Macaca mulatta: one gene and its partners. The protein of the gene in region 1 purifies or fractionates together with the protein of each later gene. This does not show direct contact. Links are inferred from orthologs where the notes say so. Each region holds a gene or a part of one and is shown in the gene's direction. Other genes may lie near its edges. The genes, in order: TAF9B, TBP and USP22.

Region 1 (3,247 bases):
AGGAGTTTACTCTTAGCTGTGTACTTTGTGCCTTCTATAAGGTGCCACACACACTTATGGCAGTAGACTGCTTATTAGAAATTTAAATTTCCAAATAGATAAGAGAATACAGTAGAAGATTAAGATGTACAAAAATCTTAAGGATCTCAAAGAAAAAAACTGTTTTTAATACTAACCACCACGCCAGGCCTAAAGATGCAAGTTTTAAACTTTAAAAAAAATTAAAATGAGTTGGCCAGGTGCGGTGGCTCATGCCTGTAAACCCAGCACTTTGGGAGGCCGAGGCGGGCCTATCACTTGAGGTCAGGAGTTCAAGACCAGCCCGGCCAACATGGTGAAACCCCGTCTCTACTAAAAATACAAAAATTAGCCGGGCATGGTGAGGGGTGCCTGTAATCCCAGCTACTCGGGAGGCTGAGGAACGAGAATCACTTGAACCCAAGAGGCAGAGGTTACAGTGAGCGGAGGTCATGCCACTGCACTCCAGCTTGGGCGACAGAGTAAGACTCTGTCTCAAAAAAAAAAAAATTAAAATGATCTATATAGACCTTAAGACCTGAGTATTTACTCTGTTCAATTTGGGGAGGCTCCATCTACAGTCTAATGTGTTCAGTTTTAAAGCCTGAACTCCATACCTGCTTAAATGTATTAACAATCCTAAGGCCAAGAAAACATTCACCTACTGTGAATTTTCTTTTTTCTTTATAAAATAAAATACTTACATTGCTTCATTACGCTTCACCAAATTCTTTGGACTGATCCTTAATACATGGGAAAACTTACTTAGGGATGGAGATATTTTAGAGGAAGGTCTCACCTTCTGTGTTTGGGAGAGAAAGCAGTAAAACCCAGATTTCTCGGTACCTTTGAGCTTTCTTCCCTTAGACTTTCTGCACCTTTTTCTCTAGAAATGATAATTGTAGTGTCCTCAGCAACTCTCTCTCTGGGTAGGCTGCTGGTTCCAGGGGGAAGGGATGTATTGGATAGCCTGCATCCCCAAATGAAAAATTGGAAATGGATACATTTCCATAAATGTATTTTTTGAGAGAGCAATGATGTCAGTATATATATTAAGTCTTCGAGTCTTGCAAAATACATTTATTAAGCAAACATTTGTTGAGTAGCTATTAGGAGCAAGGTAAAAGAGCCGTGTGCTCACAAGGATGAAAAATGTTAACCAAGCTTGTAATCTAGTCAGTGAGATAAGATAATAATCATGACTCCTATGACATTAAGGGAACTTCAGAGGCAGAATATAAGACATTTAACTGAGAAAATTAAGGAAAGTTTTATAAAACGGGGTAGTATTTGAGTTGTACCTTGGAATAATGGGTAGAATTTAGATGATTGGGGGTTTAGACTAGGTTATCTCCAAGATATTTTTCTGCTTAAGTATCCGAACACAGAAAGGGAATAAATTTTCTGGGCCCACCTGGAGACCTCAAGGGGTATATTTGATCTCTGCTTTAGTTTCATGGGCATAGATGACATCTTCTGATTCTCAGCAAGCGACCAAGATGAAAAGTGCCAACTAAGGTAATAAATAGAAAACCTGGGTCTTTATTCTGGTAGGTTAAACTCTCATCTTTATGTCTTCATCCAGCTAAACCTCAGTGCTTACTATGTAACAGATGCTGTTTGAAGAGTTTTACAGGGATTAGTTTTACTTAATTTTCACAAGAATTATATGAAATAGGTGATATTATCCCCCATTTTACAGAGGAGAAAACTGAGGCACAAAAATTTAAATAACTTGCCCAGGGACACTCAGCTAGTAGGTGAGAGCCTGAATTCAAACTCAAGCAGGTAGGCTACAGAGCCAACATTCTTTACCACTATTCTAAACTGAATTTTGTAACATCTAAGCAAGCTTGTAAATTTTTTAAGGTTCTTTTGCTCTTATTTTTAATGACTTTTTCCTTACCTTTTATTAGTTTCCTTTGCTTTGAAGATAGTTTGCGGTAAGCTGAGTGTAGAATATAAATGTGTATAAATCACCTAACAAACATGGTCTGTTTATTGTAACTACAGCAACCCCACAAACAGTGTCTGTCCCAAATAAAGTTGCAACTCCAATGTCAGTGACAAGCCAAAGATTTACGGTGCAGATTCCACCTTCTCAGTCCACACCTGTGAAACCAGGTAATGTGATCGGGGGTAGGGAACAGAATTTGTGAATAATTTGAAATTGTAGAACCATTTGTGTTCCTATAGCAAGAGGTAAATTGTTTTAATATCCCAACAGGAAGGTGGCAGTAATGCTGCAAATCAGGGTTCTTCAGAGGGACTTATGAGCCCTCTAAAATTCTGTGAAATTTTACAGAGTCTCCCCCCTTATCTTGAGGGATTATGTTCCAAGACCCCCCGTTAAATTTACAACCTTTAAAGTTCAATTTATGAACTTTCTAAATTATGAGGTTTAATTTATAAATTAGGCACAGCAAGAAATTAACAATAATAAAAAAACAATTACAACAACATACTGTAATCAAATATATGTGAATGTGATCTCTCTCGAAGTATCTTACTGTACTGTACTCATCTATTTTTGGATCACAGTTGAACACAAGTAGCTGAAACTGCGGATAACAGGGGACTACTATATGTGTAATGTTTTGGGGAGGAGGAAAAGAGTAGTCAGTGTGTTCATCAGATTTTCAAAGAACACCATGAACTAAACAGGATCCACAAATCTAAGGCATCTTCAAGGAAAAGCAGTTAAGGTGAAAGCTCAAGAAAGCGACAAAACTTAGTGATGAATATGTGTATGCAATCCAGAACATAAATGTAAATTCAAATGAAACTGTACCTTTAGTTCATAGGATACACACACACACACAGACACAGACACACACAGCTGGAATAAGTAGAATTCTGTCAGCACAGTTTACTAATAAGTATGTTTAGATTTCACATCTTCTGAAACTTAACTGCACACAATAAATAACTTACGTAAAATACTGACCTATTAGGGAAGTGATTCCTGGCCTTGAACATAGGCCTTTATGTAGTATGTTGCATGATGAGTCCAGTGCAGTTTCCCATGACTAAATTGAAATTCTAGGTTGTTAAAATACAACAGAACTTCTTCAACCTTGTACTAGGTATGTTTGATTTAATCTTTATCTATACATAGATCAGAATATCACATTATATGCCATAAATATACACAATTATTGGCAGGGTGCGATGGCTCACACCTGTAATCCCAGCACTTTGGGAGACTGAGGCAGGAGGATCACTTCAG
Region 2 (3,656 bases), on another chromosome or scaffold:
TGAGAAATGTAAAGGGTCAGTGGACCCAGATGGCTCCGTTTATCCTTATTTACTGAGAGATAATTAGAAGAGAAAGCAGGGTTTTGCCTTTTTTTTTTTTTTTTTTTTTGCTAAAGACACTTAGCTGTTGTTTTTCAAAAGATACGTACTTTGAGAGAACTCATTTTCATAATAAATAGTGACTTAGGTTTGCCAGGCGTGGTGGCTCATGCCTGTAATCCCAGCACTTTGAGAGGCCGAGGCGGGCGGATCATGAGGTCAGGAGATCGAGACCATGCTGGCTAACATGGTGAAACCCCATCTCTACTAAAAATACAAAAAATTAGCCGGGCGTGGTGGCGCACGCCTGTAGACCCAGCTACTCGGGAGGCTGAGGCAGGAGAATGGCATGAACCCAGGAGGTGGAGCTTTCAGTGAGCCGAGAATGCACCACTGCACTCCAGCCTGGGCGACAGAGCGAGACTCCGTCTCAAAAAAAAAAAAGAAAAAAAGTGACTTAGGAGTAGGGTGGTGGTGGTGGTGGCTTTTCAGAGCTCACAGGTGAGAAATGAGTTTGTCTGTGAGAAGGCTAAGGGCATGGCTCTGGAGACAGACTCAGATCCTGGCACCTCCACTTGGGAGCCATGTGCATCCTGAGGAAGTTGCACTACCTTTAAGCCTCAGCTTATTTATCCGAATGTGGGAATACTGGTAGCTTCTACCATAGTGCATTATAAGTATTAAATGGAATAATCTATATAAAATGCTCAACATGTGCATGATACTTGTTAAACAATAAATGTGAGCAATTTTAAAAAATTAAAGCCTGGTTGAAATAATCAAATGTGTGCATAATTTCTAACACCTCATCCAGTGAAGGTTAAGTAATTTAAATAGTCATGTTTTCTTTTTAAATTTCTTACAGAAATATTGTATCCACAGTGAATCTTGGTTGTAAACTTGACCTAAAGACCATTGCACTTCGTGCCCGAAATGCTGAATATAATCCCAAGGTTAGATCTATTTTAATGTGTTTCTTTTTTTTTCTTTTTTGTCTTCTCTGTCATGTCTCTATATTTTAATGTATTTCACGCTATGTAACAAATGTCTGTAGATCACTCTAGGCACAGTGGCTAATGCCTGTAATCCCAGCACTTTGAGAGGCTGAGGAGGGAGAATTGCTTGAGCCTAGGACTTCAAGACCAGCCCAGGCAACATGGCAAGACCCTGTCTCTTAAAAAAAAAAAAAAAGAAAAAGAAAGAAAAATCGGCCAGGCTTGGTGGCTTACACCTGTAATCCCAGCACTTTGGGAGGCCGAGGTGGGCGGATCACCTGAGGTCAGGAGTTCAAGACCATCCTGGCCAACATAGTGAAACCCTGTCTCTACTAAAAAGACAAAAATTTGCCGGGAGTGGTGGCTTGTGCTTGTAATCCCAACTACTTGGGAGGTTGAGGCAGGAGAATCACTTGAACCTGGGAGACAGAGGTTGCGAGTGGAGATCGCGCCATTGCATTCCAGCCTGGAAACAGAGCAAGACTCCATCTCAAAAAAAAAAAATCTGTATATCAAAGAGTTTGTGTTATGCTTATTCCTTGACACCAACAAAATGAAGATCTAAAGTAAAATGTGCATTGTTTTGTATCTTTTATTGAGTGTCTGTGATATCAGAATCCCTGGGAATACAGCAGTCTATAAAACAAGCTAAGTTACATATATATTGTATTGGGATCATGTGAAGAATTTTGTATATGTATAGGGATGATGTTTGCCAGCTATAGTAGGCAAAGTAATTTGGATAAACATTAGCTGGGTTGAGAGAAGTGTTAGTAATGGACTTAGGGTGCATTTTAAAACCCCTGAAACATAATGCCTAAGATCTGAAAGATAGCTAAGCTAGGGGTCTGAAAAATCTCCTTTTAACCACTCATAATGAGTCTGTATGACATGTAGCATTTTAAGAATTAATCTTTCATCTATTATAATATTTAGTTGAATACATAATTTTATTACTTTATGATCTTAAGTGAAGTGATACTTAACCAATAGAAATAGTAGAGGAAATTCTGGAAATGCAAAATAGCTAGGCTTTTCCTGGGACTTAGATAAACTACTATACACTGCTAGCTTTTTTAGATGTTGATAAAAACACAGGGAAGACATAGAGCAGTTTTTAAACTAAAATTGTTAAAAGCCAGGCACGGTGACTCAGACCTGTAATCTCAGCACTTTGGGAGGCCAAGGTGGGAGGATCGCTTGAGGCCTTCGAGACAAGCCTGGGCAACATAGCAAGACCTTGTTTCATCAGAAAATTTAAAAAATTATCTGGGGTTGGTGGCACACACCTATAATCTCAGCTACTTGGGAGGCCAAGACAGGAGGATCTCTTGAACTCAGGAATTCGAGGCTGCAGTGAGCCATGATTCCAGTCTGCACTCCAGTCTGGGCAACTGCAATCCAGTCTGGGCAACAAAGTGAGACTCTGTCTCTAAAAAAAAAAATTAATAAATTAAAAAAATAAAATTGTTAAAACAATCTAGTTTGTCAGAGTCATCTCAATTAGAAATACATAGGTTTTTATTGTATAATTAAATATAATGTATTAAAATATTTAAGTTGTTTCAAAGTAATTACTTGCTTTTTATCATGTACCTAATAACTGAGGCCATTAATTCAACCCACAGTTGAAATATTTTCCCCATGAGTTACCATCTTAGCAAGAAAATTTTCTGAAAGAATTAACGTGTTTCAAGCATAAAAAGCAGAAAATAAAAGTTAAAACTGTGTTTCTTTCCTAATTTGCATTTATATGTGTTTAATACATTAATATTGTTTCTAAAGGCCAATTGGAAGCAGGATTTTACTTCATTACATACTGGTATGCTTGTAATCTGATTTATTAATTCCATTAAGGTAGAAAACGTTTATTGGTTTATTTGCCTCAAAATTTATATTAATAAAACAAAATTTATCATTAGAGAAACTATAGTCATGATAAGCAGCAAATATAAAGTAGAAACCGAAGCACTGGTATTTATTGAGAACATGACCAAATTTTGCAAACATTTCTGTTGGTGGAATGCTCATGTGAAAGAACATACAGATCTTGGTATAACTTTGTCACAATTGATTATTTTCTGCTCCTTATGCAAAGGAATATTTGTTACATGTGGTGTATGCAAATCCTTTACAGATACGCAGAAATACAGGACAAATATTTTGATAACTAGATGTACTATGTCCTTCCTACCAGTTGTGATTTGTCAATGTGTAGTTCTCCTAACAAAATTGAGCAGTTTGGCATGACCTCACTAATGATTCTCTCTATTTTAGCGGTTTGCTGCAGTAATCATGAGGATAAGAGAGCCACGAACCACGGCACTGATTTTCAGTTCTGGGAAGATGGTGTGCACAGGAGCCAAGAGGTAGCCGTAAGAAATTCATTCTTCTGGTTTATGGGTTGTGAACGAGTTTTTAGGTTATTAGGTTAGCACTTTAACATGTTATTACTGCTTTCTTATTAAAATGGTTGATTCTATTAATTGTAGATACCAGTGATTTCATTTTCTTAAAAATTAGATATGGACAGGTATGGTATCTCACACCTATAATCCCAGGAGGCCAAGGCGGGCAAATCACTTGAGGCCAGGAGTTCAAGACCAGCCTGACCAACATGGT
Region 3 (3,238 bases), on another chromosome or scaffold:
TGACCACGATGGTCACGTACTGAGGGAGGTGACGGTACTGTTCTAAGGTCAGGGTCTCAAAGATCGTAGTGTTTCCTGCCAAACACAGCCGTGGGAAAATACAGTAAACAATGCTCATGGCTTCCTGTTCCCAGCACCGCCTCTCCCCTGTCTCACTAGGAGAGGTGCTGGTCATGAAACAATGAGCAGCAATCTTTGTCCCTTTTGAGGAGGCACCTGCCTAGGTTGTGAAATGGATTCAGCTTACCCTTTTACGCTAACCCTTTACATGTGGGAGGAAGGGCGCCTTCACCATCTACTTTGTCACAAACCAAACTCAGATTCCTCCAGATCCAGCTCCCATCACCAGCCCTATTCAGGACCCATCTTGGAAGAACCAGGGGCCACACCAGGTGGCCCCAGGACCCAGGTGTGCTCTGAGGCAGAGGCCTCCACAGCTCGAGTGTCAGTGTCCTCACGAAACCTGGGGAGATTTCTACCTGAAGCATAAAGCGCAGCCCGGTGCAGTGTCTGCATGGCCAAGCCTGGATAAGTGTCAGTTTCAGGAGAGGCTTGTATCTCTGGGCCTGATGATTTTAACGATGCTGAATACTGCTGTTGTCTGTTACAGCAAAGAGAGCAGGATGAATGGACAGTACCAGCAGCCCACAGACAGTCTCAACAATGACAACAAGTAAGTGGTGCTCAGCGGTGTGGGTGTCCGAGGCCTCGGGCCAAGAGCTGGGGTGGGTTCCTGTCTGCCCTGTAGGGCACCCCGCAGGTCCCCCACCACTGACCTGCTTCCCGCTTGGCTGCCCGCAGCTCCACTAGGAAAGGCCGCTCCACGCGGCGCCACAAATGCTGCCTCCTGTTGGAGGAGCCCAGTCCCACTCCTGGCCTCTGGCAGGAGGGAGGTTCCATCTGGAAAGCTCGATGTCCATTCTTCTTGCCTTGGGGTGGTAGAAAGAATGAAAGGCTGGGGTGTTCCAGGATCCCCACTGCTGACTGCAGTCATCACTCCCACGAGATGCTGTTCCAGGAAGCGCCTGGACCCAGGCTAGAGCCAGGGAGTGTGACCAGGCTCCCTTAGTTCCTGCAGCCTCCTGTGCATCAGCCGGAGGCCCTGGAGGTTGACAGCCAGGCCCACAGGCCTCCCACTCCTTCCCTGGGCTGCCTGGTTTCTGATGGTGATGGCCTCGAATGGCGGCGTTGAGCCACCTGCGCCCTCCCTCTCCTTTCCTCCCGCACTAGGTATTCCCTGTTTGCTGTTGTTAACCATCAAGGGACCTTGGAGAGTGGCCATTACACCAGCTTTATCCGGCAGCACAAAGACCAGTGGTTCAAGTGTGACGATGCCATCATCACCAAGGCCAGCATCAAGGACGTGCTGGACAGTGAAGGGTGCGTCCTGTCGGGTGGGAGGAAGGCCCTGTAGTGGCCACGGTGCTCTCCCCTCTGGTATAGCTGAGACCAGCCCACGTCTGAGCCTAGGACCACTCAAAGGTGTTGACCTTCATTTACCAAAGTAATGAGGCCTGTTCTGGATAGGATGCCAGCCTTGATGGTGGCAGAAGAGGTGCCTGTGCAAAGGCCCTCTCTGGAGGCATTTCCTTAGCACAGAGAACATCAAAGCAGTTGTTTTTTAACCGCGTGAACTGAACACATCAGTTCTTCTTTTTTTGTTTTTTTGAGACGGAGTTTCGCTCTTGTGGCCCAGGCTGGACTGCAATGGTGCGATCTTGGCTCACTGCAACCTCTGCCTCCTGGGTTCAAGTCAGTCTCCTGCCTCAGCCTCCCAAGTAGCTGGGATTATAGGCACCTGCCACCACGCCCGCCTAATTTTGTATTTTAGTAGAGATGGAGTTTCTCCATGTTGACCAAACTGATTTCAAACCCCTGACCTCAGGCAATCCTCCTGCCTCGGCCTCCCAAAGCATGGGGATTACAGGCGTGAGCCACCGGGCTTGGCCCACATCAGTTCTTTATCAGCTCCTCTCTTCTCTCCAGTTTCGTTCCTTCATGGCATAGAAACCTGTTGACCCTCCAGGGGTCGGGGGACCCCAGCTGCCATGAGCTCCCTGAGGGCTTTGCACTTCACATTCTGAGCAACATGGAAGCCCTCTTGAGAGGTTTTATTTGGAAGAATCTGGGATTAAGGACAGCCTTCAGGGCGATGAGGTGGATCTGGACTGGACCCACTTGAAAACTCCTCCCTGTCTTTGCCTCCACAGGTACTTGCTGTTCTATCACAAACAGTTCCTGGAATATGAGTAGCCTTATCTGTAGCTGGTCAGAAAAACAAAGGCAACGCAAGCCTCACAAAGTGATCCTCCCTGCCTCTCCCGCCTCCCGCCGCCTCCCCGGCCTGGTGACACCACCTCCCATGCAGATGTGGCCCGTCTGCACCTGGGACCCATGGGGTCGGGATGGACCACACGGACGGGGAGGCTCCCGGAGCTGCATTGAAGATGGATGAGATGAGGGGTGTGCTCTGGGTGGGAGGAGCAGCGTACACCCGTCACCAGAACATCTCCTGTATCCTCATGATATGGGGGTGCAACCGGGGCCTCACAGCACGGAGTGGCCGCCGCCTGGCATTCCCCAGCACTCGGTGTGGAAAGGCCCCTGCCTGCCGTAAGATTATGGGTCCATTGAAGCAGTAAGCTGAAGACACAGCAGCGTAGTATGTGGGACAGAGGGCCTTGCAGATGCCTTTCTGTTCATGTTTTAGTGTTAAAATACGGAGAGTATGGAATTCTTCACCTCCGTTTTCTCAGTGGCTGTGAAGCAGCCTCCAGAGCTTCGGAAGTAAGGATACTACGTCGCGTTTTCAAGCGTGTCTGTTCCGCAGGTAACTTAGCATCAAGCTGCACGTGGAAGCATCTCGCAGTTTTCTAAAGACAGGCATTTTCTTATCCCTCTCCCTCTCCTTTTTCCACAAAGGTGAATTTCATAAATGTAATACTAGTAACGTGAATGAATTACTGAGTTTATACTGAAATTTAGATAACTTCTCCTTTAGTCTTGAGTGCGAGTCTTGCTTTTTAATCGGTGCCGTTTATGTTGCTGCCCGCCCTGTGTGCCTGGCTCCTCTGGGTGCCTTGGTGTCTGCTGGGGGCTGGCAGTAAGCGCAGTGGAGGAGAGTCGTGCTGCAGCTCATCCTGTGTCTCTGGTATCTCAGGCTGGAGTAAATGCAGCCTCTGCCGGTGTCTGATAGGTTCCCTCCCGCATATTTTCTTTGTCCGCCTTCTGTCCCATT

The links.
Region 2: the proteins of TAF9B (region 1) and TBP purify together in Homo sapiens (affinity purification with mass spectrometry; 3 studies listed by BioGRID and IntAct, with this or other methods). This does not show direct contact. The link is inferred for Macaca mulatta from reciprocal best matches to the Homo sapiens genes TAF9B and TBP.
Region 3: the proteins of TAF9B (region 1) and USP22 purify together in Homo sapiens (affinity purification with mass spectrometry; 3 studies listed by BioGRID and IntAct, with this or other methods). This does not show direct contact. The link is inferred for Macaca mulatta from reciprocal best matches to the Homo sapiens genes TAF9B and USP22.

What each region holds. Positions count from the first base shown.
Region 1 is NC_133426.1:84,378,780-84,382,026, reverse strand, and holds part of TAF9B (transcription initiation factor TFIID subunit 9B), read left to right. Parts: intron 1-2,031; coding exon 2,032-2,142; intron 2,143-3,247. UniProt on the Homo sapiens protein: Essential for cell viability. TAF9 and TAF9B are involved in transcriptional activation as well as repression of distinct but overlapping sets of genes. May have a role in gene regulation associated with apoptosis.
Region 2 is NC_133409.1:1,483,962-1,487,617, reverse strand, and holds part of TBP (TATA-box-binding protein), read left to right. Parts: intron 1-904; coding exon 905-992; intron 993-3,311; coding exon 3,312-3,403; intron 3,404-3,656. UniProt on the Homo sapiens protein: The TFIID basal transcription factor complex plays a major role in the initiation of RNA polymerase II (Pol II)-dependent transcription.
Region 3 is NC_133421.1:21,885,331-21,888,568, reverse strand, and holds part of USP22 (ubiquitin carboxyl-terminal hydrolase 22), read left to right. Parts: intron 1-610; coding exon 611-673; intron 674-1,230; coding exon 1,231-1,380; intron 1,381-2,210; coding exon 2,211-2,253; 3' UTR 2,254-3,238. UniProt on the Homo sapiens protein: Deubiquitinase that plays a role in several cellular processes including transcriptional regulation, cell cycle progression or innate immunity.